Caenorhabditis elegans: one gene and its partner. The protein of the gene in region 2 purifies or fractionates together with the protein of the main gene of each other region. This does not show direct contact. Each region holds a gene or a part of one and is shown on either strand. Other genes may lie near its edges.

Region 1 (14,984 bases), on a different chromosome or scaffold from region 2:
GCGAATATTTTTCTGAAAAGATTTTTTAAGTTCATACATTTTTGTTCTGTTTCAAGGTCAGCCATCTGGTGGGAGGTCTTTTTTTCAATAAAAAAACGAAACAAAATTTATGTTGCAGAAAAAAAATTAAGTACCGAAATAATTCCTTATAAATGTTATATACCGTTTCCTCTATTTTTCTATTACTTGCATGCAAGCCTAATTTTCAATTGGTCAATATGGGTACAAAACTAACATAGACTACAAGACTATTAAAGGCTGCAGACTAATTTTCAAAGGTCTCATAACTTTAGAAAGCGACATAATTTCAATTAAAACCCTAACTTGATTCCATTCAAACAATAAGAAATGCTTACTTTTACAACTGTTTATCAATTATTTGAACGCTCAGTAATTCAGCATTTTTTAGGTAGCCTTGAAATTTGATTTTTGAAACTTCTGAAATCGCTCGAAACCGCCGTTCTGATTGTACGGAGCCAATCATTGAACTGAGAAAATTGTATCTGCACGGAGTCAACAAGAAAGAAACTCGATAAAATACAAAAATGTTCGTGGTTACTTCAAATCCCGCAGAGACGACTAGATTCTGATTCCATACTCGTAAAATTAGTTTTCCAATTGCTAACTAAAATAGAAGTTCATGTGAAACATTAGTAATAAATCTTAAAGCTACTCAAGCTTCAGATTTTAAATTTTCTACTGTTATTGTCCAATCATGATCACATACCAAAAAGCCTAAGTTTACCTATATGTATCAAGGTATAAACAGCATCACCAACAGAAAAAAAACATCACTGTTATGAATTCAATATGCATTTATCAAATAGAAAGTAAATTGTGTATGTAGCTTGAAACATGAAGTTTCAAAAGTAAAAATAAAACGTTGAGTACATAATTTATTTTCCCCGATAATTGAAGGGTCGATCTTTGGTATGAAATTTAAGAATCAAGACCAAAATTAAACGTGACACTTTTTGTTTATTTTTTTCACTTACAACCAAACAGCATTATAAATGTAATATTTTAGTCTATTGGAATAAATTTGACTCACTGCTTCAAGTTTTTTTTAGTTGACATCATTGAGTCTAGTTTAAATGAGAAGAAAATTTACGGAATTATTCATGAGCAAATTTGATATGGGGTCAAAAATTAAAAACTGTTTAACTGTTCGAAAATTTTATACTTCCTTCAAACATTTTTTTTGTGAGAAGATTTGAAATAAGTAAGCAAGAAAAATAAACTACAAAGGAAAGTACCTTTCATCATTTTAAAGTTGGAATTTTTCATCTTTTGCACGCGTACTCGAACAGTACACCTGTTTTTGCAACATTTAACATACAATTATTTTGTCTATTTCTGTAGCCATATTATTTATGTTTACTTATTTGATCAAAACGTGCAATATGGTGTAATTCGTTTATCAAATTGAGTTTTCATCAAAACACAAACTTTTGCTCATGCAGCTGAAACGCAGAATGTTGTCTAATCAAATGACTGTATTAAAATACCACATGCTTAATGACGTTTAGATTCAGCTGATCTTTTCATGTGTTTTTTCTTGGAAAAGGTTTTGATTTTTAAATGATGAAAGGTTTTCAGAACATTTTTCACAACTCCAGTGATCAAAAACAAAAGTTCTGTCAAACGGGTTATTATCAGTTAATACCTGCTGGTCAGTCAATTTGGTCGAAACACACCAGATTGTCTCTATTGCGGTTTATACAATCATGTCATCCGATTTTCAACTACCTGGTTTTTATACTTCCATTTCTGTGCAAGAACGTTATTTTGTTTGGTTGCGGGTGAGTTAAAGATGTTCTTGTGGGAAAGGAACCCGATTTTTCCTTTTTCATAATTTGGTGGCCAATAATAATATTAATCACTTTTTTTCCAGCGATATATGGAAATAACATCAGTTCTTAACGTATTTCTGACTGCTTTGACCCTTTATTTAGTAAGAGTTGAAGGGAAAACCTTAAAGCGGGATTACAAGCAAGTTCTTGTTTGCAACCTTATGCTTCCGGTTGTCTTCAGTGTTTATATGGGTTTTGTCTACCAACCGTACATCGTGTTCCCATATCACTTACTTCTCACCGTGGGATTTTTCCGATTTGGGCCGTTCGTCACTGCTCATCTGTTTAATATTTGTTGTACTTTGGCAATCCTGTGTTCGATGAGTTTCCTCTATTCGTTTTGGTTTAACTACTTCACGATTTGCTATAGAATATCACGTCAAAGCTCAACAAAAACAAATTTGATTGGAGTTTGCATTGGTGTTGTATTTACAATAGTAAATTTTGTACTAATGACTATTGGAGTCGATGAACATCAATACGAAGATCGAGATAACTTGTACAAAACTGATAACAGAATTAAGTACTTTTTCAATGAATATTCCATTGCAATTGTAAGAGTCAGTGATAAATGGTCTTTAAAGGTATTGTTCTTCCTTTGAAATTTCAGCGAGCTTTCACATTTTCAGGCATTAAGTGTCGAAGCATTTATTGGAATTTCAATAGTAGTTATCATAATCCCATTGATAACATTCAAATCATATACAACATTGAGCAAAATACACAAAATGATTTCTAAGCAAACACTGATCCAGCTCAAAAACGCTTTGGCAATTAGTCTCTGGTACTTGCTGCAGTTTGGTGTTTTAGTTGGAATTCCAGCTGCAACAGCAATGGCATTATTATTGATGCAATACACACCTTTCGAAGGGTATGAACCATAAACTAAAAAAAGATGATTCAACACGCATGACTAAAACTAAAAAGTTGCAATTAAAAATTAGGGATCTATAGCAACTGTGAATTATTTTCCAAGCTTTCCGGTGAAGCCAAGTACTACAAAAGTAATATGAAAAACACGGAGTATTCTATGTTCTCATCTTCTGAAAAAAATATATGTCAATTAAAGTTAAAAGTATAGTTTGAGAAAAATAATTACAAAGAAAACAAAAATACTTGAAACAAAGGTATTACAAGAAAAATGTAGCCTGCATTTCAACATAATTTTTTTTTCAGTTTTCCATTTGCAATGGTAGTGTTAGCTCCAACTCAACTCACATGTCCAGTTATCTGTATCCTATACTTAATACTTATCAAACCGCTTCGTTATGGTTTTTTTAAACTAGTGGGTCTTCATAAGTATGTTCCAAGAAACCAACCAAAAGCAGTAACGCAAACACGTAAGATTTTTTGGACTAGTGGTTCGGTTGAATCTATATGTTCCAGAATTATCAACGTTCACATCTCACGTTCCATCAAGACCGACAAATAGAGTACCGTATGGTTCTCTAAAACTTTATTAATGTAAACGTTTTAAAGTTATAACGTTTCACTTTAATTCTGAAGTCTATGTAGCAATATAATTATGCTATTAATTGAAAAATTGTTATTCTTCACAAAAATAAAATCACAGAATTTTTAAATAATTAAACCACATGAAATTCAAAGAAGACGGAAGTAAGTTTACATGCACATTTTCTAATGTTTTGTATATGAATTTGCGACCGCACACTTAGTGACTTTTGTCTGTAATTAATCAGTTTAAAGTTTCAAAACTTTTTAAAACTTACTCCACACTCAGAGTTTGCACTTGTCTCTGCCATTTCAGTGAAAGAAAATTGAAATGACTTCTGTAAGTCATGAGCATCCGTCTCTCTTGTCTTTAGTTCTTTTTCCTTCTCTTCTAACATATTTTCGAGGATTTTCGTTTTGTGATAACCACCGTTTGCCATATCAAGAGCTGACATTGTTTTTCCTATAATGCTATCTTCATCCAAATTTCGAATTTCACATAACAGAGCAAGAGTCCGACGTTTGTCGATACTGGGTGGTGAAGAATCAACAATTTCAAACATTTCTTCACGGCGAGTGTAGATTTGAGCAGATTCTAAAAAATGCGAATTAGTTTCAAAATAGATTTGACAATTTTAATATCAGTCAGAAATATATTCTTCATTTATAAACTCACGTTTTAGAGCATAAACAAGGTCCGTTTTGGAACTTCCTCTGCATAAAATATGATCAAGAGACTTTACTCTCTCAATAGTCAATTCACACTCTGCTCGCAACGCTGTCCATTTTTTGGCTTCCCTCTTATCGTACGAAAAATTGTTTTTGAAATCAGAATTCTTATTAACTATTTTTGAGACACTCATTCGTGTATCTTCCATCAGTGAAGGTTTATTATCACTCTTTTGTTGGCCCTGAGTAAGCCGAGGGACTGATGAGTTTTCAAGGAGTGCAGGAAGATTATTCATGATCGCCTGAAAATATTCTTACGGTTCCTTGTTTTCAATCAATTGATCAACTAGGTAGTTTTGTTGAAAAACCGTTGCCAACATCTACTGAAGCCAGCGGGGGATTACTCACACCCAGGAAACAAAATAAATTGTATTTTTTATGAACTTATGTTAGTAGAAAACCGATACTACCGGAAAGACATCTATTTTGAAGGATGAGATTAGTTACAACGGGACACTTTCATAATCGGAAGGGTTGGTTTAACTGAAAGCAAATTTGCAAACAAATAAACATTATGACAACTAATAATTGAAAACAGAAAATGAAGCCCATTGTTGAAAATGAGATTGTTGAAATAAATTATTCATGAAGCTAGAAATTCAAAAATGAAAATTTTCGTTTTTTTTACTGGGAGATTATATCAACAGAAATTGAAAATTGAGTGGGGAAACGGTGGAAAATAGTATATAGAAAATGAATATTTCCATCTTGAGAATTTATAGCTCTGTCCTCCCGGCTCCCTATATTTAATGTGAAAAATGATTGTTTTTAGGAGATTGTTCCATTTTTCTGTAAATGTAATATAAAATTGACACATGGAGAATACCGTATATTATTGAAAAATCTGGGTGAATTTCCTGAAACTTTCTTATTTGTTTTCTGACGGAACGGAATTGATGAAATTATTTGATTCCTTTAGTTGATCATAATATCAATAAGCGCCTTGAAGTTAAAAGAATCTTAGTGAAAAGAGTCTGTCTGTTTTTGAAAAGCAACTCCATTATAAGTATAAACAGATGCGCTTTTATTGTTTGGCTTAGGAATGTACTTTTAAGTAGTTTCAAAAATTAAACGCCGGGTATTTGAGAAACGATTAGCGTTTCATTAACTTTTCCGTTTGTGTTCAAAACTAATTGGTTTTCTTTGAAAGCTCAAATTAACATTTATTTTTCTTCATAATGTATTGTTTAAACTGATAAAGTTTAATGTTGAATGTACGACATAGTATTTCCGTGAAGGCATCCAACTCGACGGAACCTGTGTTTCTTATCATTGGTCAAATCTTTTCCTTCCCATTTGCCTTTAGTTCCATATTTGGCTAAGTAGTCAACGTTGATACCTCCTGTCAACGCTACTGTTCCAGGAACATTAAATGGTAGAATTTCTTTCTTCGAGTCCACCAAAATCCATGTGTATGCTCCTGGAGTTGGATTTCTGGGGCATGAAATGACGGCGTAATGGGTGTTATCATATGTGTAGTATCTAAATTTGAATGTATAATTCTTCTTGCAACTTGGATTTGCTCACCTAACACGGGCTTCAACAATTTTTTCACCACGAAGATCTTTCAATTTTTTGACTTCTGATTGTTTAAACTTTTAAAATGAGAATACAGTTGAGAACTCACCATAGTTGCGTGGTGGATACGATCCCCCATTTTCTGAGTCAGGATATGGTCCTGGGGGGAACGGAGCTGGATATTCTTGTGGAATTGGAACTAGTCGTGAAGCTGGCGGAAGCGGCCAACTATTAGGGAAATTTGGAACTGGGTATGATGCTGGTGGAAGTGGTCCTAGATCCGGCACCGAGTACGTTGGTTTCTTTGTTGGTCTTGGGTAGTCTTCAACTTCAACTTCACCTGAGTAGGACTTCTCGTTCTGTAATCATTAATATAAATATACTTTAAATTGCAATAGTATGTCACAATCTGGTATTCTGCAGAAGCCACAGCAGCAAGTAATACAAGCGAAACAAAATATTTCATCTTGGCAGAGCACCGATGTATGGCTCTCCTCTGTTGAGGACCGTTTTATATTTGGTCTAGATTTCGCATGAATCATATGTTTAGAAAACGTATGATGTGATGTGATCCATATTCCAGATTAAACTTTGTCGACGATTCAACAAAATCGTCTATAAAATCAAGTAGAGGTGACGCACAATTCAGCGAAATTGTTCACTATGTATGCTCTCTTTTTATCTGTGATCGCATGTGCGGTCGTCGTATCTGCGAACCAATACAATGATTATGGTACAATTTCTCACTATCCTGGACATCATTCAAACAATCGATACTCTACTTCTGACTCATCGGATTCTTCTGAGAATGAATTAAAATCAAGATCGAACTCAGATGAGCGTTACCCAGAATATCCAGGTGTATATGCGCCACAACCACCTGCAACGAACTACGGTACCAATGGAAACGAGTATAGACCACCAAACAATGTATATGAACAAAATGAGTATGAACAATGCAAGGAAATCAAACACTTTTCTGTTCATAAGCACAGAACCGCTCGTGCTGACATCAAGTGAGTTATCACAAAAAATACCATAAGTTAGCTTTTTTTCGAATATTTTTGCAAAATGAAACTAACTGATCAACGTTGGAAAAAGTTTTAGAGAAAATAAGACGTTTTAAACATAAAACCCGACAAAATAGAAACATTCACATATTTCGTTCTCAATACTCGTTATAGAAAAAATATACATATTGCATTTACTTTTTCGTTCAATTGTTTCGTGATGTGAGAGCAAAACTAAAGTTTTCGCAAAGTTTGTATAATTAATTATATCACGGGCTAATTTTGTTCTGTTTCATTTTGACTATAAATTATTTTCCAATGGTTCAAAAAGTTGTTTTTTTACAGAACAGTAGAGCGTAAGGGGAAGACCTACAACATTATCGCCTGTCCAAACAGTGGAAAACCATATGCCCTTGTAGCAAAAAAGGAAGGAACAGACGCATCTTTCAAGTTTGAGACAGAATTCGTCATTCAAGACACTATTCTCCTTGCATCGGGATATAATTTCGACTACGTTGCGAAATGCGACGACAAAAAGTGAGCCGTATTAAGTCAACTTGTTGTTTTTATATTCAAAGTCTAAATTTCAGTTTTGTTGGAAAATCATTCAACGACAGAGAAGTAGCAATCCGAAAAGTCACATGCGTTGAACTTCCCGGACCAAGACCATTGACAGGATTTTAATGATTCTGTTTATTTAAATGTTTTACGAGTTTTTGGTTGATAAAGTTTAAAGTCAAATTTGTTACAGAATGTGAAACAAAAAAAAAGTTCAAATTTGGATAATTATGTAAAGAAAATACTTTAACTAAATTTCAATGAGACAATGAAATTCATTCTATGATCATCCAAATATGGAAGAAAAGTAGTGCGATAATTCTTTTCGCATTCGTTAGATTAAAAAGGGTTTTACTTGTACTTTATTGAATGTAAGACAGTTTTTTTTTTCATCCGCTCCTTTAGAACAATTTACTGAATGCACTCTAAAAGTCCTATTGTTTTTTTCACGAGGAAGTGAACTCATCAAATTTGCAAATGTTAGTTTTCCGCAGTTTTTCCATGGAACCAAGTTATGATATTTCTGTTGACTGGACTCCTCTCATAATTGAGGTACCGTTGTACTACATATAAAAGATTTGTTGGCAAATATCAAAAAGCCAACAAATTGCGTGAAATGAGTAGCTTGGTGTGTGTGCAACATAGTGCGAAGAGGTGGTTGTTTGCAAGCGGTCGACACGTTCGGAGGTCCGCGCCTCACTATAAATGCGGCGTGGGTGACGCCGTGAGGCCGTCGCGGCGACCGCATGGGAGCCCTAGTTTATAGAAAAATTTGTAGGACGCGCTTAAGTTTTTAGTTTAAATGAGAAATTTAGAAACTTATAATAAAAAATTATGAATCAACAAACTGCCTAAAATGTATGGCAGTTGCGGTTTTATCGTCAATTTGTCAATTTTCTGGGAATTTTCAGTTTCGGTCATTTAAAATTTTCTTTGCCGCCCACTACTCGAACACATTTTCCTAACAATACAAAAAAAGCTGGAAAAGACAAATATGTTGAATTGTTTATTTTGCTTAACTTAGCTGTCTTTGGTGTTGATTTTTCAATCAAACTCTTTTCGGTGAAATTATCTCACATTCATTCTACACAGGCTCTCGTTGAAGAATTCATTTATTTTTAATGATAAAATAGTATAAAAACTCAATTAAACAGTCAATGATGTTTCAAAAGTACCATGATGACATCCAACACGACGGAACTTTTGCTTGTCACTGTTTGTCATATCGCGGCCGGACCATTTTCCGTGGCGAGAGTATTTAGCAACATATCTCACATTGAGTCCGGCGGCAAGAGCAACAGTTCCATCAATACCAAATGATGGAATTTTTTCATCAGAGTCGGCAAGGATCCATGTGTATTTCTTGTTGTCTGATTGTCGTGGGCAGCTAATTTCTGCATAATAATCTCCTCTATGCTTGTAGTATCTGCAATAGTTATTTAATGAACTGCATATGTTTAGTGATCTACCTGATTCTGGCATCAACGACATTGGTTTTGTGCAAGTCTTTCAGCTTACGGAAATCTTTAAAAAGATACTTATAAAATGCAACTAGCGCACACATTTCAACCAACCTCTTCTGTGTTCCCGAGAATCACTATCCTCATCAGAGTAGATTGGGTAACCACCACCACCGTAAGATGGGCCTGGAGCAGGGTATGATGGGTCAGAGGCGGCCTGAAAACTTATAATACAGCTCTACATTGCTGAATGCATTCTGAAACTTTACTTGAGGCTAGCTCACATGCGGTAGTCATTTTACTTGTAAAAACTCACTCCGTAACCGTCGGCTGCCACCATGGCAATGCACGCAACTGTGAGGATGAGGAAGACCATGATGCTGAATACAAGGTTGTTGAACTGGGTACTCTCTATCTCTTTTATATGCGTTCTTTTTGTTTTTTTTTCCTTTTTTGATTTTCATTCTCAAAACATAAAAAAGTAAAATATGACAAAACCAATCACAACGTCACGACATTGTTGGTGAATCACTTTTTTCTCATTGTCCCGGACAAGATTGAATTTTGAGAAGATAAAAAACAAAAAGTTGTATAAAAAGAAGATGAAATACGGTCAAACTCAACCATCGTCTCATCTTTCCAAAAGATGTATCTTCTTCTGTCACTTGCTCTTGTATGCACCGCTGCCGCTTCCTCCGGTTACGGAATTCCAGCCAATGATGATCCTAGCTACTCACCACCAGCCAACGATAATCCAAGCTATTCTGCACCAGCAAATTCTGATAATCGTTTGTACTACGACTATTCTTCTCGTTCCAGCTCCAGCTCTAGCGACAGCAGTGAAGAAAGAGAGTGCAGAAAATTGAGAGAGTTTGATCTTCCATCGGAATTGAAATCCATCGGCGTTAAAGCTAAATTTTCGTGAGTTTCAGAGTACTCAAATTTTAAATTACCACCGACTTTAAAGCATTTAGTAAGAATTAAAAAAAATGTTCTAAAACTTTAGTATGAATTATTTTTACACAAAAGTTTTCCTTTTTCTTAAATAGAACAATTTGTAATTCAGTCTGTTTTAAATTGAAAATTTTCACCATTTGATATTAGTTCGGCAATTTTCAAGCAGATCACACATTGCCTTAAACAAAACTTTTTCAGTGAAATGGAAAGACGCGGAAAAACCTACACAACAATCTCTTGCCCTAGCAATACCAAAACATATGCAATTATTGCCGACAAATCTGGAAGTAATGTCTCGCAAGGAGACATAACCATCCAAGACGCAGTGCTCTTGGCCACCGGAGTTAACATCGATGTCGTGGGAAGATGCCGTGGTCGCCGGTAACGGGTTTTGTTTTAAAAAATTATAAAAATGTCCCATTTTTCAGTACCACTGTTGTGGCTAACAATGGAGACGAAGTCAAAATCAAAACAGTTGTTTGCGTCGAGTTGTCAACCTCACCAGACAAATACTAATCTCATATATTTCAATATTTCATTTTTGAAATGAAAAATTTTCAGTAAATAACGCTATGTATTAGTTGTTTCTTGACAGTTTTCTTCGATTTGAAAAATCCAGGTTCATTTAAAAAATTCAAAACTTGTTCGATCCGACTCTTTTAATGCTTCTTTTTGAATTAAAGTTTAGATGAAGAGAAGGTTCCAGTTACATTTTGTGAAAAATGGAGTATAAGTACGGAATCAGTACAGGGCTGCCCAAATAACGCCTGATTCTTGCTCAAATTTGTACCTCTTTTCACATGACATTGAGGGTTTAGTTTTTATCAAAAATATGAAGGCCGTTGGAGGCGAAAGCCGAGATACAATTAGAATAATGGGTACAATACTAGATCAGTGTGATTTTGATCAGCGTCGCAGCAGCAGATTGGAGTCACATTCATTTCATCCAAGTTGTACCATGTATCGACATGGTGGCAAGTTGGCAACGGTGTTGATCTCAAGTTATTCCGTTGTTTTTCGTACTGAAAAAAATTTTAAAGTATAAAAAATAGAATGTGCTTACAGTAATAAAAAGGAATTCTAATTTTTTAAATGAAAACCAATGAACGGTGCTAGCCAAACATACTCGAAAAATAAAGTTGTAAGAAATCAGGAGAACAGATAGGAATGTGAACAACATTCTACGTAATAGAGAAGAAACTCCATAGATGCTTCAAGTAAATTTTTGATCAATAGGGTAATTTTTTTAAAGGTGGGGTACCCAAATCTGGGAAATATTTTTAAATGACTCCAAATTTTTCCCTGGTTCCGAAAATCAACATGAAAAAATTCAAAAAAATTTCCCTGATTTTATATTTGAGCTTGAAATCGCGAATTTCATTTGTGCCCCGGCTTCTTTTTTTAAATATGCGCTGAAATAAATTATCCTTGGAGCGCGTTTGCCTCATTTTATTTTCTTCATTTATTTGTACTTTTTCAGTTTTTCAGCTATTTTCATTCATTGTTAGCGTTTTTTATCGTTTTTTTTTAAATATATTCTTTCGTGTCAACTCAGCAATTGCATTTCTTGTACCAGTTTTTGACTAGAAATAAATCATTATCGAAAAATGTTCGAAAGTTTTACTATGAGATTGATCGTTTTGGCACAATATGGTTATAACAATTTTCTAATTGACGCTACTCCAACTTGCTCTTCACTTGTTTAATTAAACTTTAGATATATAATATGTACATAAACTAATGAAATGTCAGATAGTGACAATCAAAAAACAGACTTGGCGAAATTTCAATATAAATAAAATACTGCCTCTCATTTGGCAAAAATAATTGCTTAGATTACTTATTTATCACAATTACCTGTTCCAAAATGTTCAAAACCTCTGTGAGACAATCTCCTGGTACATGTTCATGATGTTCTCTAAGGAGCGCGACTAAAGCTCCGCATTGGTCCACAGTAGTACAATGATGGAATACTTTGTTGTGATACATCATCATAGCGACTTTCTCTGAAACATTTTTTTAATAATCTAATATTTTATTAATTTTTCTACTGGCAGTCAATTCTCCGGCAAGGTACAAATTTGCAAAAGCTGGTGTCTCATGAAAACTTTGGCAACGTCGTAGAGCTTCTGCAAAGAGACAAATAGTTTCATCATCCATTTCGAAACGACTGTTCTCTTCAGGTTGACCATGATTGATGGCTGTAGATGACATCCTAAACTAATCAGCATTTAAAACTGTGATCGAATGAGATATGTAATAAGACAATATACATAAACAGCCCAACAACAAAGCAGAAGGTAATTTGATGCCCAGAAAAGTTTTCGAATTGGGCAAGGTCGTGTGAGTTGTGCGCCGCCGTTGAACACAAGCGACATCTGATTTTGATCTTACATTGATAAGCAAAAGATAAACAAAACTAGGAGGAATGTTCAAAACTTTAACCTAACAGTTCTCAAACAAGCCAAAAAATGAAATGGGTGTTGAGTGCGTTACAATCCCCGAATGGAAAAAAACGACAACTGGCGCAATGACCACCTGGGTGTTGGGTTAATTGAGAGTTTTTTTACTGAAAAAACTTCAGCTTATTGAACAACATCTGCTTTATTTGAAAAATAAGATGTAATGTTGAATAGTCATTTACAATAAAAAAAAAGTCTGTTTTTTTTCACGAACCACGGCCGGCTTCTTCTTGTATCAAGATCTTGGTGGAGACGGCTCTTGTGGTGAATGTCAGAGTGAACTTGTCCTGACGATTGCAAATATCCTTGCATTGTTTCTTGCATCTGAAATTCAAAAATTGATTTCAAAACATATAGCATACTCACTGCCAAGAGGTAATTGCGGTCATCAGTAATGAAAGATGGAAGGTGATACTGTCTAGGGGTGGCAAGTGTGCGACCTACTCGGTAAATTGCTCCTCCTGGAGCGCGGATGGGTATGCGCCCAGTATATTTTACTCTCTGGCTTCCCATTATATTTCACTCTCTGGCTTCCCACTATATTTTACTCTCTGGCTTCACCATGTTTTTTACTCTCTGGCTTCGCCATATATTTTACTCTCTGGCTTCACCATATATTTTACTCTCTGGCTTCACCATATATTTACTCTCTGGCTTCACCATATATTTTATCTCTGGCTTCACCATATATTTTACTCTCTGGCTTCACCATATATTTCACTCTCTGGCTTCACCATATATTTCACTCTCTGGCTTCACCATATATTTCACTCTCTGGCTTCACCATATATTTCACTCTCTGGCTTCACCATATATTTCACTCTCTGGCTTCACCATATATTTCACTCTCTGGCTTCGAAATATATTTTACTCTCTGGCTTCACCATATATTTTACTCTCTGGCTTCACCATATATTTTACTCTCTGGCTTCACCATATATTTTACTCTCTGGCTTCACCATATATTTTACTATCTGGCTTCACCATATATTTTACTCTCTGGCTTCACCATATATTTTACTCTCTGGCTTCACCATATATTTTACTCTCTGGCTTCACCATATATTTCACTCTCTGGCTTCACCATATATTTCACTCTCTGGCTTCACCATATATTTCACTCTCTGGCTTCACCATATATTTCACTCTCTGGCTTCACCATATATTTCACTCTCTGGTTTCACCATATATTTCACTCTCTGGCTTCACCATATATTTCACTCTCTGGTTTCACCATATATTTCACTCTCTGGCTTCACCATATATTTCACTCTCTGGCTTCACCATATATTTCACTCTCTGGCTTCACCATATATTTCACTCTCTGGTTTCACCATATATTTCACTCTCTGGCTTCACCATATATTTCACTCTCTGGCTTCACCATATTTTTTACTCTCTGGTTTCACCATATATTTCACTCTCTGGTTTCACCATATATTTCACTCTCTGGCTTCACCATATATTTCACTCTCTGGCTTCACCATATATTTCACTCTCTGGCTTCACCATATATTTCACTCTCTGGCTTCACCATATATTTCACTCTCTGGCTTCACCATATATTTTACTCTCTGGTTTCACCATATATTTTACTCTCTGGCTTCACCATATATTTCACTCTCTGGCTTCACCATATATTTTACTCTCTGGCTTCACCATATATTTAACTCTCTGGCTTCACCATATATTTCACTCTCTGGCTTCACCATATATTTTACTCTCTGGCTTCACCATATATTTTACTCTCTGGCTTCACCATATATTTTACTCTCTGGCTTCACCATATATTTCACTCTCTGGCTTCACCATATATTTTACTCTCTGGCTTCACCATATATTTTACTCTCTGGCTTCACCATATATTTTACTCTCTGGCTTCACCATATATTTTACTCTCTGGCTTCACCATATATTTCACTCTCTGGCTTCACCATATATTTTACTCTCTGGCTTCACCATATATTTCACTCTCTGGCTTCACCATATATTTTACTCTCTGGCTTCACCATATATTTCACTCTCTGGCTTCACCATATATTTTACTCTCTGGCTTCACCATATATTTCACTCTCTGGCTTCACCATATATTTTACTCTCTGGCTTCACCATATATTTTACTCTCTGGCTTCACCATATATTTCACTCTCTGGCTTCACCATATATTTCACTCTCTGGTTTCACCATATATTTTACTCTCTGGCTTCACCATATATTTCACTCTCTGGCTTCACCATATATTTTACTCTCTGGCTTCACCATATATTTCACTCTCTGGCTTCACCAAATATTTTACTCTCTGGCTTCACCATTTTTTTTTACTCTCTGGCTTCACCATATATTTTACTTTTTGGCTTCACCTGTACTATTTCTGTAACTACGTGAAGCTTCTTGTACCTACTAAAATATTGTTGGTATATTCAAAAAGAACTTAAAATTTACTACAAAGTTTCTGAAAGACATTTCAAAAAAAGTTACTTTGAAGAGATTTATGAATTTTCAAAGTTACGAAAATCCATCTATTTTTGCCTATAAATGGTAGTTTTCATTAAATAATAAAATACGCACTAAAAGGTAGGGCTGAAAATGTACTATTTCTGTAACTACGTGAAGCTTCTTGTACCTACTGAAATATTGTTGGTATATTCTAAAAGAGCTTGAAATTTACTACAAAGTTTCTGAAAGACATTTCAAAAAAAGTTACTTTGAAGAGATTTATGAATTTTCAAACTTACGAAAATTCGTCTATTTTTGCCTATAAATGGTAGTTTTCATTAAATAATAAAATACGCATTATAAGGTAGGGCTGAAAATGTACTATTTCTGTAACTACGTGAAGCTTCTTGTACCTACTGAAATATTGTTGGTATATTCTAAAAGAGCTTAAAATTTACTACAAAGTTTCTAAAATACATTTCGAAAAAAGTTACTTTGAAGAGATTTATGAATTTTCAAAGTTTCGAAAATTCGTCTATTTTTGCCTAT
Region 2 (17,083 bases):
CCGGCAGGTTACGGGCAACTGAAAAATGAGGCGACTTGCAACCGACAGAATATGGGTTCTAGAGAATGCAGCCAGCATTTTACGGGCTGATTATAAAGGACTGGGACGTTTTAAATCACTAAAATAGTTTTTATCATGCGACCGACATAAAGGGTTGTTAAAATGGCAGCCGGCACTTTGTGGGGCTAGAAAAAAGAAGGCAACATTTTATAGCACAAAAAATAAAGCAGCCGACATATCACATGCCTCCAAAATAGCTGTAAACATGCAAGCGACACAAGGTGCCGCGCAGCGACCGACGTATGACGGGTTAACAAAAAAGCAATTTACACCTCGCGGGCCCACCTTACCTCTCAATCCATCCCATATTGGTGAACGTGGTCCTCCATCTCTCCACAATGATTGAGACAAAGAAAGCTAGCATAAAAGTAAGAGGAATGTAGTTGTGAAGCTCCTTCCCACAGTAAAATGCCACGTCATTGAAGGAGCTGGAATTTTGAGCTGTGTTCCCGTGTATCTCCGCGGAGAAAAAATGTATCAACAAGTTGGAAACTGACAACTTGTAGAAAATTTTATTTCAGATACTTTTTTGTGAGAAAAATCAATTTTACAGAAAGTCAACTCACTCATAATAGTCATTCGGAAACAAGACTTTATGGTAGAGTAGTGCAATTAAAAAATAACTGAAACACCACATCATTAGCTCCGACGACACACTTTTCCAGATTGACCCTGAAGAAAAGTTTTAACTTCTGAAATCTAGAGCAACTCACCCTTCCATCTGAGCAAAAGCCGCAGAAAATTAGTAGAGGATACCGACGAGACGTCGGAGTTATAGGAGACTGTCATAAGAAAAACGTGACGCTGAAAATAAACCGGAAAAGTTGAGAAAAGCTTGTCGAGAAGGAGGAAAAGAAATAGAGGAGGTGAAAGACAGTCGAAGACAATCATAAAAAATGCTTGTACATATAGAAATAAATGTTGCGGAGATCTGTGAAGAGGGCGATAAATAAAAAAAAATTGTAGCGGAAGGCTTTAACTAAAAATGTGAATATTAATTTGAAAACTTACACAAAAAGTTGAAAAAAAGTAATTTCTAAAAATATCAATGTGTGCTTATGTTATCAGATTATGTTTCGTTTTTTTTTGGCAGAAAAACAAACCTACATACAAAAAAGTAATGAAAACAAAGCAACTAATCGTTTACAGTTGTAGCCGGCAAATTGCCTTCGCAAGTGGCAGCCAAAGCATTGCGGACCATAAAAGGACAGCCGACAGTTCACAGGCCTTCGCAAGTGGCAGCCAACACATTGTGGGCCATAAAATGACAGCCGACAGTTCACCAACCTTGACGAGTGGCAGCGAACAAAATGTGGTTTCCTAAAACAGCAGCCGACACTTAACATGCTTCTTAGAGCAAACTACATTTTGCAAGTTTATTACAAAGCAGCGGGCGCATTATAGCAAAGCTTATAGCTTAAAGTATAGGCTTTTTTTTTTGAAAATTCTAATTTTTAAACCAAAAATAAAGTTTTGCCAACAACTTATCGATACGTGTTCTCCCGAACGTGTTTGTGAGAGGAAAAATGAACATTCCCAAGCTTTCAATTTCCATTTTTACTTTCAAATTCTCTTTTCTACACAAATTATCAAAAGAAGCAAAAATAAACTATGTGGCTATTTGGTTCCGTCGTACAAATATCACTACTGTACACTTATTTGGCAATTGCGGTAAATATTTGGGGGATTTTTTTGCTATACACGGGAGTTTATGGAAAAGTTATCAACATACAAAATCAAAAAAAAACATTTCCCAGTTGACTTATCAGGAAAACTATAATTTTTCGCGGCGTGCGGATCTGAAATTTGGAAAAAACTTTGAGTTTCAAATTTTTCAGAAATTTTTAATTTGGACAATGCAATTACAAACCACATACTACAGTTTCTTAGAAACTATAGCGTAAACACAGATTACAGACTACAAACTACAAAGTACAAACTATAAACTATAAACTGTGAACTATAAACTACAAACTACAAACTGCAATATTAGCAAAAACTTGAAATAATTTCCATTTCTCTAATATTTTTGATTGTGGTTTTTTGGAACTGCAATCTACAAACTACACACTGCACACTACAAACTATAGACTAAAAATTACAAACTTTTTACTATTTTGCAAATTCCAATTTCAAATCGCAATTAAGAATTTCTAATTTGTAGTTTGTAGTCTGAAAACTTTAAAAAAAACCGTAATTTTTTACAGAAAAATGTCGAGCTGTCAGAAGAATTTGAAGCATATCGTGAATGTCTGGAGAAAGTTGAACGAGACATCGGAGAGGAGCAGAGAATAAAAGTAAGGGAAAACTGTGAAAAAATGGTTTTTTGGCAAAAAAAGTGATGTTTTATATTCATTCTTTGTATATCGAATACACGAATAAATTATTGGAGAATGCTGGGGTTTTCTTCCCCATTCAAGCATTTTCATGACAATTCAGTTTTTGAATGGGCTCTCTGAAAATATTCTTATTTCAGGTTGTGCACGCTGTCCGAGGTGCTGACGTCATTCTGCCTTGCTTTACTTGGTAATGGTTGAAAATTTGAAATATTTATTACAACAAAAACATTTTATAGTGTCTCCCCGGAAGACGGTGTGGAAATTGATTCAACGTACAAGCCGTCGGCTGGATCAGTTGGAAGAACTGTAAACTATGTCGTCGACTTTTTCAAACAGGTGAGTGGAAGGGGTTAGCGGGCTTTAGCAGGCCTTTAGTGGACGTTAGTGGGCCTTCAGTGCAAAAATGAAAATAGTTACGGTTTTCAGAAATTCCTGCGCTCCTCCTTCTCAATGCCCGACAAAAATCGCTGGAAATTCGACTGGCAGTACGCGATGATGGGCCGAATGTTTGTCCCACTGTCCAGTATGCATTTCGACGCTTCTGAATCGATTTCCGACCGGATCCGACGCTTCACGTCGAAGGATGAAGCCGAGTTTAAGATCGGGGATCGGTATGAGCTGGTGCTGAAGGATGTCGATGCGAATAGTACGGGGCACTACAGATGTATCAATCGACACGGGAGAAATGTGATTTCCAATATGTACTTTTTGGAGGTCTCAAACACGAAAAAAATCATTCCGGTTAGAATTTACAGGTGCTCAAATATCAGAACCAAAATTTTCAGTTAAACGGAAGTCTTGGAGTTGAGACGCTCCCTGCAGAAGTTACCCTGAAAAATTCCAAATTTGTGAAGGAAAATCTAAAAGTCGAAACTAAAGCCGGGCCATGGAGCAAGTGCAGTTACTGCTCGTCGGATCGTGGAGAGCAAACTAGGACCATAAAGTGCTATGTTGAGGTAAAGAAGTTGTAATGGTGTCAGCGGGTGACGTTTTTTTTCTATTTTTCCAGCCATCCGTCCGTATCTCCGCTCTAAATCCTGAGCTCCGATACCTGGGCCTCTACGACAAAATCCCGTGCTCCTCGACCCTGCTCCCGCTGGATCTGCGAACAAAACTGAAGAGAATCGGAAACCATCAGATCTTTCTCGAAACTCGTCCTTGCTTCGAAGAATGCACCGGCTCTGAGGAGATCAGCAGAATCGTCAATTCGTCTCAGGATCTGGGTGACATCAGAACCCTCGACTACCTCCCCGGCGGCGAATTTGTGTTCGGAAATATTCTGCCAAGGCTTTTGCCTCCGGTTGTGAGGCGGGTTCGGGTATGAACTTATACTCAATTTTTTCCCATTTTTTTTTATTTCAGCTGGTCCTCGAAAACGATCCTCAGGTGTTGTCCTGCCAGAAGCTTATCGATCTGAACGCGGGCGTCCACTGGTACAGTATGAAGTTCGGACCAGTTCAGCACACGAACATCCATGAGTTGTACAAAGATCGGGCGTACTTTGACGAAGAGACCAACTTGGTGTTTAGGAAGTTCGCGCTGGAAGACGATGATGAATACTTGTGAGTGCCCTCATGGCCAAATAAGGCCCGATAAGCCCACTAAGGCTTTCTAAGGTCCGCTAATGCTCGTTAAGGTCCGATAAAGCCCGATAAAGCCCGATAGGCCGACTAATGCTTGCTAAAGTCCACTAAAGCCTAGGCCCGTGGAAAACTGGCAATGTGCCTTGGAAAGCTGGCCCGACTTATCGAACTGGTAAGGCGCATTAAAGCCCGCTAAGGCCCAATAAGCTCACTAGGGCATTCTAAAGTCCGCTAAGGTCCGTTAAGGCCCGATAACGCCCGATAAGCCCATTAAGACTTGTTAAGGTCCGCTAAAGCCCGCAATGGCCCTCAGAGACCTCTTAACCACCATTTTTTTCAGCTGCTACTCGTCCAACAACATTCTCCTCGGCACCTTCCATATGCGAGTCGTCGAAAATGACCAGCACCACCAAATTATCGAAGTCGTGCGGATTGTCGTGAAGTTCAGCGCCTTCATTTTCATCTTATCCCTGGTTGCCAGTCAGTTGTACCGCTAAAATTTTGCAGTTGAATGAAGAAATTCCCCCTACTTTTTGACTCTGTTCTTCTTGTTTCTATGATTTGGTCTTTTTGGTTGGCAGGGGCAAACATGTATGAACTGTTGTGTGAAAAGGAGTGTAGGTTGTAGGTGTCTGCGTCTCTCACGTTATCCCGCACTCTCTCACCCGCTCAGGTGTGATCAGTGGCGGGAAAAGGGAGTGGGGGAGGGCAATTTTTTGTTTCTTGGTACATTTGATGTCCTTGTGCCCTACTCCTCAATTGGTACCTTTTTTAATCCGTTTTCATGGTGATGTTGCCTGCAAATTCACCGCTAATTTTGGTTGATTTAGACTTTTTAAATGTCTTTTTTTTTGGCTATATCTTTTCGGAATATTGAGATTTTGAAAAAAAAATAACGAGCGAAGTATTTAGCAGGAAATTGCCTACATTTTGGTAGATCATATTTTTATTATCTTTTTTTGTCCGCAGAGATATGACGGTTAGAAGTTTTTTGAGCTCCTTTAGCCTAAAAATTGAGAAATTTGAAAACAGTAAACTATTAAAATTAAATACTTAAAATTCCCTAGTTGTTAGTTAACAATTTTTTATATACGTTTTGTCCACTGAAATATGACCGTTAAAACTTTTTCGAACTTTTTTTTGCGTCTTTGTTTGAAAACGTTTTAAATTATTTAAAAATATAGATATTTAAAACAAATCACATATAAAAATAAAGTGCTTGAAATTTCCTACGTTTCGTTAGTTGACAACTTTTTTATAACTTTTTGTCCACTGAGATACAGACCTACAAAAAATGTAGTTGTTTTTCTCGATTTTATATGGGGCTCTCTTTTCTTCAGCTCTGCTCAATCGGTTGTCTTTTTAAAATTGCATTCATTATAAAAATTCAACGGTAACAAAACAAAGAACATAAAATTAACGGCATATTCTCAGTTGAAATTTGTTGTAGCTCCAAAAAAAAAACCTGCAAAGTTACAACCGGTAAAAAAATTTTAATTTTGTTTATTTCTCAATATTCCCAAAACCAAATAGGTACAAAAACCTAGTAGTACCTATTTTGCACAATGTTTTTCTTAAAAACCTACTTATTTTAATTTTTATCCCCAACTTTTTTGTGCTCCCCGTTACCTTGGAAACCCGCTGAAAGTTCTGAAAAATTCTCACCCTTTTTCTCAAGATTTTTGATCAAATTTCTGAACTTTTTGCACTTTGCGTCTAAGTACTTGCTGTTGAGAATTTTATTTCCGTGTATTTTTTAGAATAGATTTGTCAAATTTTCTGAAACAAAAAACAAAACAAATTTTCAATTTTTGATTTTTGTCATCAAAATTGATAAGGAAGATTTGTTATCAGTTTTGGACATTTTGTGATTACTAGAAAATATGTTGTAGTGAATTTTTTGTTAAATAGTTTTTTCGGCTGTTTCTAACATTAAAATTTTGTGAAAAACGTGTAATAAAAATAAGAACATGCTACTTGAGTTATTAACTTTTGAAATTTTTCCAGGTAATGCGGGTCTTGGTATTTCTCCTCCTGTTCGTACTACCAGCAGCTTCATGTTACAAAATCCTAGTGAGCGTCCCGAAATTCGGGTTCAGTCACATGCAGACAATGGGCAAGCTGGCAGATATTCTCGTGGAGGCCGGGCATGATGTGGTACGATTTTTGTTCTATTTTAGGTAGGTAGGCATGCCTGCCTGCCTACAACTTACTTCTCACATTAGCAAGTATTATCAAGCCGAAAAAATCCCCTTCAATATAAAAATCTATATTTCCAGACATTCCTAATGCCAGTCGACGTGCCAATCCCTCAAAATGGAACTGAACTTGCCAAGGTGGTCCTGGTGCCGACTAGTAAGTTTCAAGCTTTGGGCAGACAGACAAACAACCAAACAAAAATTTCCAGCCGACGCTATTAATGAGATTATGGGACATGCTATGAAAAGCGGTGCTGTCGCGAATTTGTGGACTCACTCGGCAAACTCAAAGCAAGGAATTATGTGGTCAACTGATATGATTGGACAAGTTTCTTATCATAACACAAAAAGTGAGTTTGGGGAAAAAATGTTGTAGGATTTTGTTGTTGGGCAGCTCTTTTTACAGCTATGATTTGAGATTTCGAAGTTTAGTGAAATTTTCTGAGAACATTTTTGGCACGCTTTTAGTTGTTGTATCTTAACTAAAAATTTAGATATCAAAACATGCTCAACTATCAAACTTTTCAGCATAAAATTTCCCACGTTTTGTTAGTTAACAATTTTTGAGTATCTCCTTTTACAACAAAGTAATAGCAGCCGACACTTCACTAGTTTGCAAAATATCTTAACTTCCAGACCTAATCGACAATAAGGCTTTGGTGCAGCAGATGAAGGATGAGAAGTTCGACATTGGAATTACTGAGCTCTTCGATTTTTCGGGCCTCGCATTTTTCGAGGTTATCGGCTTGAAAAATGTGATGGGAGCCCATACGACAAGTGTCTTTGAGGGAACACTCATGGCTACCGGAGCCCCAATTCTTCCGTCTTTTGTTCCAGCTTCGCAGACTTTTACAGATGATAGTGGAAGTATACTATCTAGACTGAACAACTTGTACATGACTTATTGGTCATACCAGTTTCAGAATAAGATTCAAAGTTTTGCGCAGAAGGCGCTGGATGAGCATTATGAGAAGGGCAAGGCGCCAAAGATTTGGGTAGGTTTTTGTTCTTTTCTTTACGTTTTTAGTGAAAAATTTCCAGAATCTCGTTAGCGACATCACATGGTTCTTCGTCAACTCGGATCCGATCTTCGATTTCCCGAAACCTCTTCCCCAAAATATCGTAGAAATCGCCGGGATTTCAGTGCCAGAAATCAAGCCAGTTGGCAAGGAGTGGGATGAAATTTTGAGCAAACGATCGAAAAATGTGCTCGTTTCATTTGGATCTATAGCTTCACCTACTACGATGCCTGAAGCCGTCAAAAAATCGATTGTAGACGCGTTTGCGGCGTTCCCCGATGTTACATTCATCTGGAAATACGACGATACGGAATCAAAGTTGACCGCCCATCTTGATAATGTTCATATTGTCAAGTGGATGCCACAGAATGATCTTTTGGGTAAGAAATCTTTTATTGTGTCAGCTGGAAATTTTGAATAGCGACCGAGATATGAGAGCTTGAAAATGTTATACTATAGCCCGTGAAATGGCGGCTGTTGTAATTTTTTCTAGGTGGAGATAATCATAAATTGTAACAAAATGTAGAAAATTTAAGTTTCATATTCTGCTAGTTAACATTTTTCAATAGCTTTAAAGCAACCGAGAAACAAACGTTAGAATAAATTTCAGGCCTGTCAAGTGTCGGCTGCTGTAACTTGTTTCTAGGTAGATATAATGAAAAACTGTCAATAAACAAAATGTAGTACAATTTACACTAAACATTTTAATTGTTAACAACCTTTGTATATCTTCCCTATTCGCAGAGATACACACGTTTATATGTATGTTTTTAGCGAAAATTATTAGGGGAGCCCAGTTGGCCAGTGTACTGTTTAACCGTCCGTATCTCCACGGAAAGGGTAGCTATCAAAAAGTTACCAACTAATGAAGTATAGTAATTTTCATGCTCTTTAACGTGTTAATGCTGATCATTTTGTTAGTTATCAAATTTCTGCCAAACTTTCTTCTAGTGTTTGAGTTACAAGGGTTTTTCGTTTTTAAGTTTTAGCAGGAACTTCTAAAAACGGAAAGCTCTTTGCAACCTTTCAATGTCGGCTGCTTCTATAATATAATTTAAATAACATTAAATCTTTTGTTCCTTATTTCCTTATTTTCAGCCGACAAACGAATCTCAATGTTCTGGACACATGGTGGAATGGGAAGCTTAATGGAAAGTGCTCAAAAGTCTGTTCCGCTCGTCGTAGTCCCGATTTTCGGTGACCAAATGCGCAATGCACAGATCGCGAAGAGACACGGCGTGGCACTGATCTACGATAAAATGGACTTGAGCAACACGAAAAAGCTCATTGGAGCATTGAAAGAAGTGCTCGAGAATCCGGAATACAAAAAATCGGCGGAACTTCTCGCGCGGATCCTTGCCACTGAGAGGTTCTCCCCGCGGCAAAAGATCATTGATACGGTGGAGATGGCTGGAAGGTTCGGGCAAATGCCCAGGTGGACGTCTGCTGGAAAAGAATTCTCGTTTTTGAAATATTTCAATTTGGATCTAGTGATCATTGCAGTTTTTATATTTTTTCTGTCAATTGTCTCGACGGTACTGTTGATTAGACACCTGCTCGCGAAACTTGGTTTCTCTGGAGATAAGGAGAAATCTGAGTAGAATTCGCTGGGAGAGATGGGATGTTGTATAAATTTCGTGCATTTTTTTGGTTTGAAATTTGAAATAAAACTTTATGGAATTATGAAAACCTGGTTTTTGTAAAGCAGAAAATTCTGAAATAAAAGAAATGTTTGACTAAAAAATAATTCTTTTTTTTTCTGATTTAGTTCCGAGTTTTCTAAAATTCTATTGATAGAAATGTGAAATGTTTCTTTTTTGTCTTTTCTTCAAATTTTCAGACTAAATTTTAACGCAATTTCTGTATTTCGACAGTTAAATTTTGCAAAATTTCGGAATTTTGAAATTAATTTCCAAATTGTAAATTTTAGAGATTTTTTTTGGTATTTTAATTGTTCATTTTAATTAATTTTAATGTTTTTGAAATAAAATCAAAATTATAAAAATTATTTAAAATTTTATTTGCACTCTGTTATAAATTTTGAAAATACTCAAATTGTGAAAAATTGTTATGATGCAAATTTTCCAAATAAAAAAAACTGAGAATGAATTAAATTTCTTTAATTTTGAAAAAAAAAATGTTTTTTCTCCAAAATTTCAATTAACCATCAAAAAAAGTTCAAAAAAATTTATTCAACATGATTAAAGTATAAAATCGTAAAAATTGGAAAGAAAAATGTGGCTATTACGCAAGTGGTTCAAGAGACAAAAAAAAAGTACAAAATATCGATAAAACAACACAGGAAAGCTCGTAAAATGTGTAAATCGAGTGTAAAATACAAAAAAAAAGAAATTTATAAACCAAAAAAAATTGAAAAAAAATCCGTAGTGTTCTGTGGTTATCCATTCCGAGTCATGGAAGGATATGCTATACAGATAATTAATATTTTGAGGCGGGGGCGGGGGGGGGGGGGGGGTATTCTACATTATAAAAAAAAATTAGAACAAAATATAGTTTTTTTTTCAGAAAAAAAATCCAAAAAAAAAATTTTTTTAATTTTTAAATTTTTTAAAATGTTCTGATTGTAAGGGGATTTTCAACTGAATTTTTTAAGCTTTTCATCACATTTTTGAAGAAAAAAATCAAAAATAATTTTATTACGTTTACACTGTGCATATCTAGTCGTACTCGAGATCAGAATTTTCCAACTCATTTGGGTGGCGCCTGAAAAAAAATCAGTTATTAGTTTTTTTTTTTTTTAATTAAATAGATTAAAATTGGCTTATTGAAAAAATGTGTTTTTTTTGTAATTTTTAAATATTTTCAAACATTTAAACTTGAATTTAAAGTTTTTAAATACAATTCTCACCTCTGTGGAGTATCTATTCGGCTAATAGTGACGTTGATTCCAAGGTTTCCGTTTTCTGAAAAAAAAAGTTGATTTTTGTTGAGGGTAACTTTTAAAGTTTATATTCCGGAACTGACAAAAATTTTGCTACTAAAGGTCGATGCACCATATCTCGCCCAACTTTAAAAACTTTTCAAAAAAACCTCTGCGGATTTCGGTTTTTATTTTTATTTTTTAATAGACACTTTGTTAATATCTTCAAAAATTGACCGAGTTTATCAATCTTAGAAATTTTTGGTCGATGCACCATGTTCAAAGGAAACTTAATTTTTTTGGATTTCTGGTTCTATCGAAAAAGTTCCAACTCACAAAATATTTGTTCTCGTGTTTTATATAGTTTAGCGGTTACATTTTTGTTAGCATTCACACACTTAACCGGGGTATCGGCTGTTAAAACTATTTCGGTCGATGCACCATGATGCACTCAACTATTCCAGCTGTATCCCTTGTCTAACAAAGTTACCAAAAAAATTGTCAACTCACAAAAAAAGCTGTTTTTGCTCAGTTTTAACAAAAATTGAAAGCTCAGTTTTAACAAAAATTGGTAATTTCCGATTAAGATAAAAGCAAAAGTCAATGCTCACCTGCAAAAAGCTGTGCAGCATTTGAATCGAACGCTAGGCAATCCGACTGTTGAATGGCCACTACCACCCCCTCGTGGATGCTTCTCGGTGTGGCTTCCCATGACATTCTCCGGCGGCTCGCCGATAGCTCAAGCCGGTACACAAAGTTATCAGCTTCCTTCTTCGAGCCAATCAGCTGAACGACTGCGTAGAACATCTGAGTTGGCTGAGCTGGATCGTACTTTTCCTGCTTCTCGAGCACCAACATAAAATTATAGTCAAAGCAGCTCTGCATCATAACCCAGTCAACTGCTCCAGGAAGATTGATGTCAGTGGCCAGGAAGACGATATCCTCGCCTTGAAGCGTCGTGATGCTCTTGTGGATCTTCTTCAAATGCTCCATCACATCCGACAAGCCTCCCTGCCACTTGCAGCTAGCTCCAGGGCACGGGCAGCAGTAGGGTCGGAATTCGCAGAGCTCCTCGTGCTCGGTCTTATCAGCGTGATGGAAGTTCAGGGGGCAGCCGGACGTAGAGAATTTGCATGGAAAGCGGACGGTGTTGGCGATCTTCTCGAGGCCCAGGTTGCGGACAGAAGCTGTAAGATTGAAGGTTTAGTCTTGAAATTTGAGATATACTCTGAAACTTTGAAGATCCGTAGATCCTTGATTCGTTAGCTACATTAGAGAAACAACACAGCTAAAATGCTTAGGCGCTCGACTGAGACAGATCGATCAACCAGAAAGGATCTTAGTCTTCTATCATATCAGCTCTGCTCAAGCTGTGGTAATTTTTTCAGCTTTGACTAAACTCTTCTAGTCACGCAATTTTCAAATTTCAACTTCAAAACTCACGAGTTGGACCCCGACAAGTCGGGCAGCACTGAAGCTTTGGTCTGCAGTTCGAGCAGACAAGATGTCCGGATGAGCACTGCATGTATGGTGGCAGCATGTACTCCAGGCATACCGGGCACTCAAACACCGACAAGATCTCTGCACTGCTGTCGTCGGTGGCTCCACCGCCGCCGATTGGAATATGTGGTGCGACGCTTTGGATTCCTTGCGCGGTCGTCGTTGTGTTGTGCGGTACTGGAAAATTTTACATTTTAGCGTTACAGTTCTGAAAATCAAGAAAAACTCACTACTTCCCGGGGGATTACTCTGAACTCTGGCCATCGTTTTGCCAAGCACTGCGGTTCCAGAGATTGTTGACACTGCAGACGGTGGCGATGCCGACATCCGAGGTGTCAATCCGATTTGACATTGCTGTTGTGTGATGCCTGGCGGGACCGGTGGAGGGTTGCCTGGAAAGTAAAATTTAATGGTGCTAGTTCTGGGCTCCAAGATATAGTTTCACACTTACTTCGCTCATTGAGCCAATTTTCAATACACTCAATAATAAGCGCATTCACTACGCAGCAGCAAGAACGCATGTGGGGGAAAATGCGATCATCATGAAGCGAGCGAGCTCTCCGAGAGAGTTTTCAGCAGGTATATAAAAACTAGGGAGGGGCTCCGAAACACCGCTTTACGATGCATATGTCGATTATAACACAGAGATAGAATAGCGAGTTTTCTCTCGGGGGTGGGAGTAAAGAGGAAATGTTGAGTGACTTTAATTGGTGTCGTTTTGGATGTGGGGGGGGGGACTAATGACTGGTGAGCACGCATGGTTGGAGAAAGCAGGGGATTTGGGCTCCGGCTTAAAGGTTTGGCTGGCTGAAGGTAGTGGTGTGTCGGAAAAATCACGTGGTGTCAGAAAAAACCCCTGCCATCACGGTTTGATCTACAAAAAACGCGGACTTTTTTTGCGTAAAACTTTCTTAAGCCAAATAAAATGAGAACTATGCGTCTCAACTCGTGCATTTTTTGTAGATCTACGTAGATCAAACCGAAATAGGACATTCTGGCACCAAGTGAAATGCTGAAACAGTGATCTTTTAATCATGTCTCAATTAATAATACTCAATAGAAATTCAAAAGCCGACTCTCTTGATTCCGTTGGACAATTAAGTCCTTTCTTTAATTTTGGGCCGTTTCTAAGTTTCGGGGATGAGCAGGCTTTCAAACAAGACTCAAAGTTTTCAAAAAAGTCTCACCATTTGAGTGATTAACCATATCTTCGACTAAAGAATTGCTAGTCTGATGTCTGGATAGATGATTCGCTTGCGGAGCCGAATCGCTACTATTATTATCGTCCTCCTCAAAGATGAGCTGTGTACGACGAAGAGACTCGATCACGTCCTGATAGTCTCCTCCTCCTCCACCACCGTTCCGATTACTCATCAGCGAAGGCAGTCGAGATGACGAGGACGACGATGTTGGAGGTGGTGGGTGGTTCGGTGTCTGCGGATGCCGCCGTCTTCCCGTCGTCTCTGTAATTGGTGAGTTGGTGATAACGAATTGTGAGTGTTTTGTTGTTGTCACGTGAGAAATAGTCGCTGGAGGTCAAATTGTGAGGAATTACGAAGAGAGTAAAGTTTTTAGAATAGGTTTGTTGAATCAGGAGTGGCACGGGGTCTCACATGGTCCCATTACGATTTGATCTACAAAAAATGCGGGAATTTTTCGCCCAAAAAATGTGACGTCAGCACATTGTTAACCATTTGAAATCAGTTGGGAACTCTTCGTCTCAACTCCCGCATAGTTTGTAGATCTACGTAGATCAAACCGCAATGAGCCACTTTGACACCACGTGGCAATTTTTTTCCGGCAAATTGCCGATTTGCCGTTTGCCGGAAATTTTTAGAGGGATTTTTTAATAAGACGGAAGCACTTGAAACAGTGTCATTTTGAAAGTTTTTTTTTCCCGTTTTCTTTAGATACATTCATTGAACTTGCTTACTTTTCAAAATAGATGTAGGAACATTCATAGGATGCGTACAATTTTGCCAATTTAAATTAAATTTCTAAAATTTCCAGAAAAAAATGTGGAAAACCACAATTTGCAGAAAAATGTTTGTGAAAATTTTTTGCCGGTTTGCAGTTTTGTCGGAAATGTTCATTTTCGGTAAATTACCGGGAAAGTTGTGCAAAAAAAACAACTGAGGCTCAAATTTTTTAATTAAAGATTTACTAGGAAATTTTGAAAATTTTATATTAAAATTTGAAAATAATCGCCTAAAATCAATGCAATCAAGAACAAAAGATGAGAGATGGGCTAGGAAAATCAATAAGATAAGTAAGGGATAAGGTCCGATTTTCATGAACTTGAATACCTAGTATAGATACTAGATTCAGTAAAACGTGATTGCAAACTATTTGAATAAGTGACTTTCTAAAAATGGAAATTTGAAACATTCAAAAAAAAATGTAATACATTCACAAAAATCACTGAAAAGTTAAATTATGGTTATCTTAAACGAAATAGTGATGAAATCCATGAAGAAAGTGGTAATTTTTTCGGGAAGTATCAATTTTAAGGTTCTATTGTCCACACAGACACTTTATAAATCAAGTCGCAAGCAGAGAACAACAACAAAATCTGGCAAAAGAAAACAACTTTACTATTCGCTTTTTTTTAGCTTTCTCTAAATAATATTTTCAAAACCTAACAAAAGGATTAAAACCCTCAAATTCGACGATTACTTTGCATAAATACACAATAGAAATACGAATAAGAGAGTGAATAAAACGAAGAAAAGAGGCGAAAGGAAGAAAAATATGAAATAAAACGCGTTCTGTGTGCGTACTCTCTCTCTCTCTTTCTCTCTTTCACATCTTTTCACCAACGAATGACTGACCGGGATAGTGTGGGTGGTGGAAGAGACGACAGAGAGACCGACGACGAGATGTGTGGGCTTGTAAGAGAGTCTCTGTGTTTCTCTACCAGCTGACATGCGAATGAGAATGAATCAAATCGATTTTTGAAGAGAGAGAGAGAGAGAGAGAGAGAGACGGTTGGAGGGAAGGGATGGTGAGAGCGATTTTATATGAAAGGCGTATCAGGCACCAATAACCTTTTTAAAGTAAAATTTCAAAAATTGATGGTCATGCACTGTTGGTCATATGGAAAGATCAGCTGTTAGGGTGACTGGTACCCGGGTCAGGTGCTTGTGCTCTCGGTGGTCGATGAGAGGCAGCATAGGGAATGTAGCAATAATAATAAAAAAATAAAGTGACGTTTTATTGAAATTCATATAAGGAAATGTAAGGAAATTATCTGAAGGAAATAATCTCAATAAGGCACACGATTATTTGTTGCTACAACTAGCATTTCAGTAGCATTGGAGATAGCTTTGCAAGCTTTAGGTATATTGTGTTGGTATCAGGCTGTCCCATATCGGTTTGATCTACAAAAAAATGCGGAAATTTTTAGCCAAGAAATATGTGACGTCAGCAGGCTCTTCACCATGCAAAATCAGTTTGGAAGTCTTCGTCTAAATTCCTGCAATTCTCATAGATCAAACCGATATGGGACACTCTGGCACCGCGTGGGTATTATTCAAAGTTGAGGCAGCGTCTGTGGGTTTCTTGCCCTAACAAGGGAAGGCTCTGAACTCGTTATCGGACTTCATTACGCCACTATATACATTCGATAGAGAATAGTTACAGATGATCACTCCAAAAAAATTTATCTTCAGAGCAGGTTCGACCAAGTTACGACATTTTGAAAGTGCCAAAATACCCCTTTTTAAAAATTCCACGAAAGCCCAATAACGTTTTAGTGAAATTTGGTCAAATGATTGAAAAATTATAGGGGTTTCCTTTTGTACCTCTGCATCAGAGGTATCAAAAAATTTCTCCAATGTTTATAACGGCACGTTAAACATTGTACTAGTTGCCGATTTTAAGATTAGCAAAGCTTCTGATAAGTTATCACTGTTTGATTGTTTGTTATATATGTATTACTTATTATTCATATGTTATCCAAAAATTGAGAGATTTTTCAAAGTTATAGTTTCAAATTTGGAAAGCTAGGGGTAAAGTTTTAGTTTTTTTAAAAGCACATATTTTGGAGTGAATCTAAATTTCAAAGTCAATTGACGAATGGTTCGAGTTTAACTAATTCGTTGTTGGCGCCGCGGACCGGTTTCGCGGCAGTGATGACACTGGAAGCAAAAAACTAAACAAAAAGTTTGTGTACACACAGACACACGCAATTGTTGTCTACAACCCTTTTTTCCTCAATTCGGTCTTGGGTCTCAGTAGAGCGAAATTGCACGTGTCTCAAAAAAAGAGAGGGAAATTGTGCTCACCGAGCCACGACACACTTTTCCGTGGTTTTTTGTGGTCAGAAATGTGCGGCGAGAGTACTAGTAATCCAAGCGGAGTATAAGAAGAAACGAGAACTTCGAAAATACCTTTTAGAAATTCAAAGAAGACATTTTGAACCCGAAAGGTGCTCAGCGGATTTTCCAATTTTTGTGCCTGCGTCTCACAATTTTCAACGTTCTCTCTATTGTTGAAAAATTGAGCGAAGTACTTCTAAAAAATTGTCAAAAAGTGGTTTTTTTTCACAAAATTTGTATTAGAAAGTGTTCGTTGAGATATATGATTCTCTAGGCACCGTCATTATTTCTAATGATAAGTTTATATTTATAGGTAAATAATGAGCCTACCGACAACCTCCTCACCATTAACTAACGATCAGGAATTTGCGAAGCCGGTGAGGAATGGAAAAATGTAGGTTCTAACATACCAAGACCCACGCAAATCCAAAATTTTCCAGATTTGAAAACCCGAAATCCTTCACCAACTGGGGTGGTCGCCCGGGACTCACTAATATCTTCAAACTTGTTTTAAGGGAAACCAGCCATGAGAATCTACCGAGCGACAAGAAGGTTCTAGACAGTACACTTCCGGTGCACAACATCACTGCAGATGATTTCCACAGTGAAAGTGGCCTATTTGCGACATGGCTTGGACACGCTACGGTACTAGTCGATTTGGAAGGTGTAAAGTTTGTGACGGACCCAGTTTGGGCTGATCGAGCGTCGTTTACGAGTTTTGCTGGACCGAAGAGATACAGGCCACCACCGATGAAGTTGGAGGATCTGCCGGATTTGGATTTTGCAGTGGTGTCGCATGATCACTACGATCATTTGGATGCGGACGCGGTGAAGAGGATCACAAAGTAAGTTTTTAATGTAATGGAACATGGTGCTAGAATTTTTAAACAACTTTCCAGCCTGAACCCTCAAATCAAGTGGTTCGTCCCGCTGGGATTAAAGAAATGGATGAAGAACCAAGGCATCGGAGCCGACGGATCCAACACCGTGACCGAGCTCAACTGGGGAGAGAGCTCGGAATTCGTGAAGAACGGGAAGACCATCACAATCTGGTGCCTCCCTGCTCAACATTCGGGACAACGTGGACTTTCCGATCATAACCACCGGTTATGGTCAGGATGGGCGGTGATCGGCGAGAATCGGAGATTCTACTTTCCCGGAGATACTGGGTTCTGTGACGTCGA

What was found.
Region 1: the proteins of spe-40 (region 2) and Y62H9A.3 fractionate together in Caenorhabditis elegans (co-fractionation; one large-scale study listed by BioGRID). This does not show direct contact.

What each region holds. Positions count from the first base shown.
Region 1 is NC_003284.9:11,873,927-11,888,910, forward strand, and holds Y62H9A.3 (putative secreted effector protein), read right to left. Parts: upstream 6,046-14,984; 5' UTR 6,019-6,045; coding exon 5,959-6,018; intron 5,912-5,958; coding exon 5,662-5,911; intron 5,617-5,661; coding exon 5,562-5,616; intron 5,517-5,561; coding exon 5,237-5,516; 3' UTR 5,184-5,236; downstream 1-5,183. Other genes in the region: Y62H9A.1 (uncharacterized protein), read left to right, coding at 1,728-1,802, 1,895-2,437, 2,483-2,724, 3,030-3,193, 3,240-3,316; Y62H9A.2 (uncharacterized protein), read right to left, coding at 3,492-3,539, 3,584-3,900, 3,982-4,270; Y62H9A.4 (DUF4362 domain-containing protein), read left to right, coding at 6,216-6,568, 6,908-7,099, 7,153-7,246; stha-3 (Conserved secreted protein), read right to left, coding at 8,267-8,546, 8,590-8,644, 8,695-8,797, 8,897-8,956; ule-5 (Uterine Lumin Expressed/locailized), read left to right, coding at 9,227-9,501, 9,736-9,918, 9,966-10,053; Y62H9A.7 (ORF12), read right to left, coding at 10,404-10,559, 11,395-11,543, 11,589-11,751.
Region 2 is NC_003282.8:3,740,008-3,757,090, reverse strand, and holds spe-40 (Ig-like domain-containing protein), read left to right. Parts: upstream 1-1,635; 5' UTR 1,636-1,671; coding exon 1,672-1,731; intron 1,732-2,267; coding exon 2,268-2,357; intron 2,358-2,536; coding exon 2,537-2,586; intron 2,587-2,635; coding exon 2,636-2,735; intron 2,736-2,825; coding exon 2,826-3,140; intron 3,141-3,184; coding exon 3,185-3,355; intron 3,356-3,408; coding exon 3,409-3,717; intron 3,718-3,761; coding exon 3,762-3,961; intron 3,962-4,322; coding exon 4,323-4,479; 3' UTR 4,480-4,508; downstream 4,509-17,083. Other genes in the region: best-20 (Bestrophin homolog), read right to left, coding at 351-488, 627-732, 774-849; ugt-45 (glucuronosyltransferase), read left to right, coding at 5,993-6,139, 6,262-6,337, 6,390-6,530, 6,817-7,175, 7,222-7,579, 8,298-8,800; E3 ubiquitin-protein ligase siah-1, read right to left, coding at 9,878-9,923, 10,069-10,123, 10,692-11,267, 11,524-11,757, 11,811-11,972, 12,768-12,954; nape-1 (N-acyl-phosphatidylethanolamine-hydrolyzing phospholipase D 1), read left to right, coding at 16,220-16,293, 16,340-16,744, 16,799-17,083.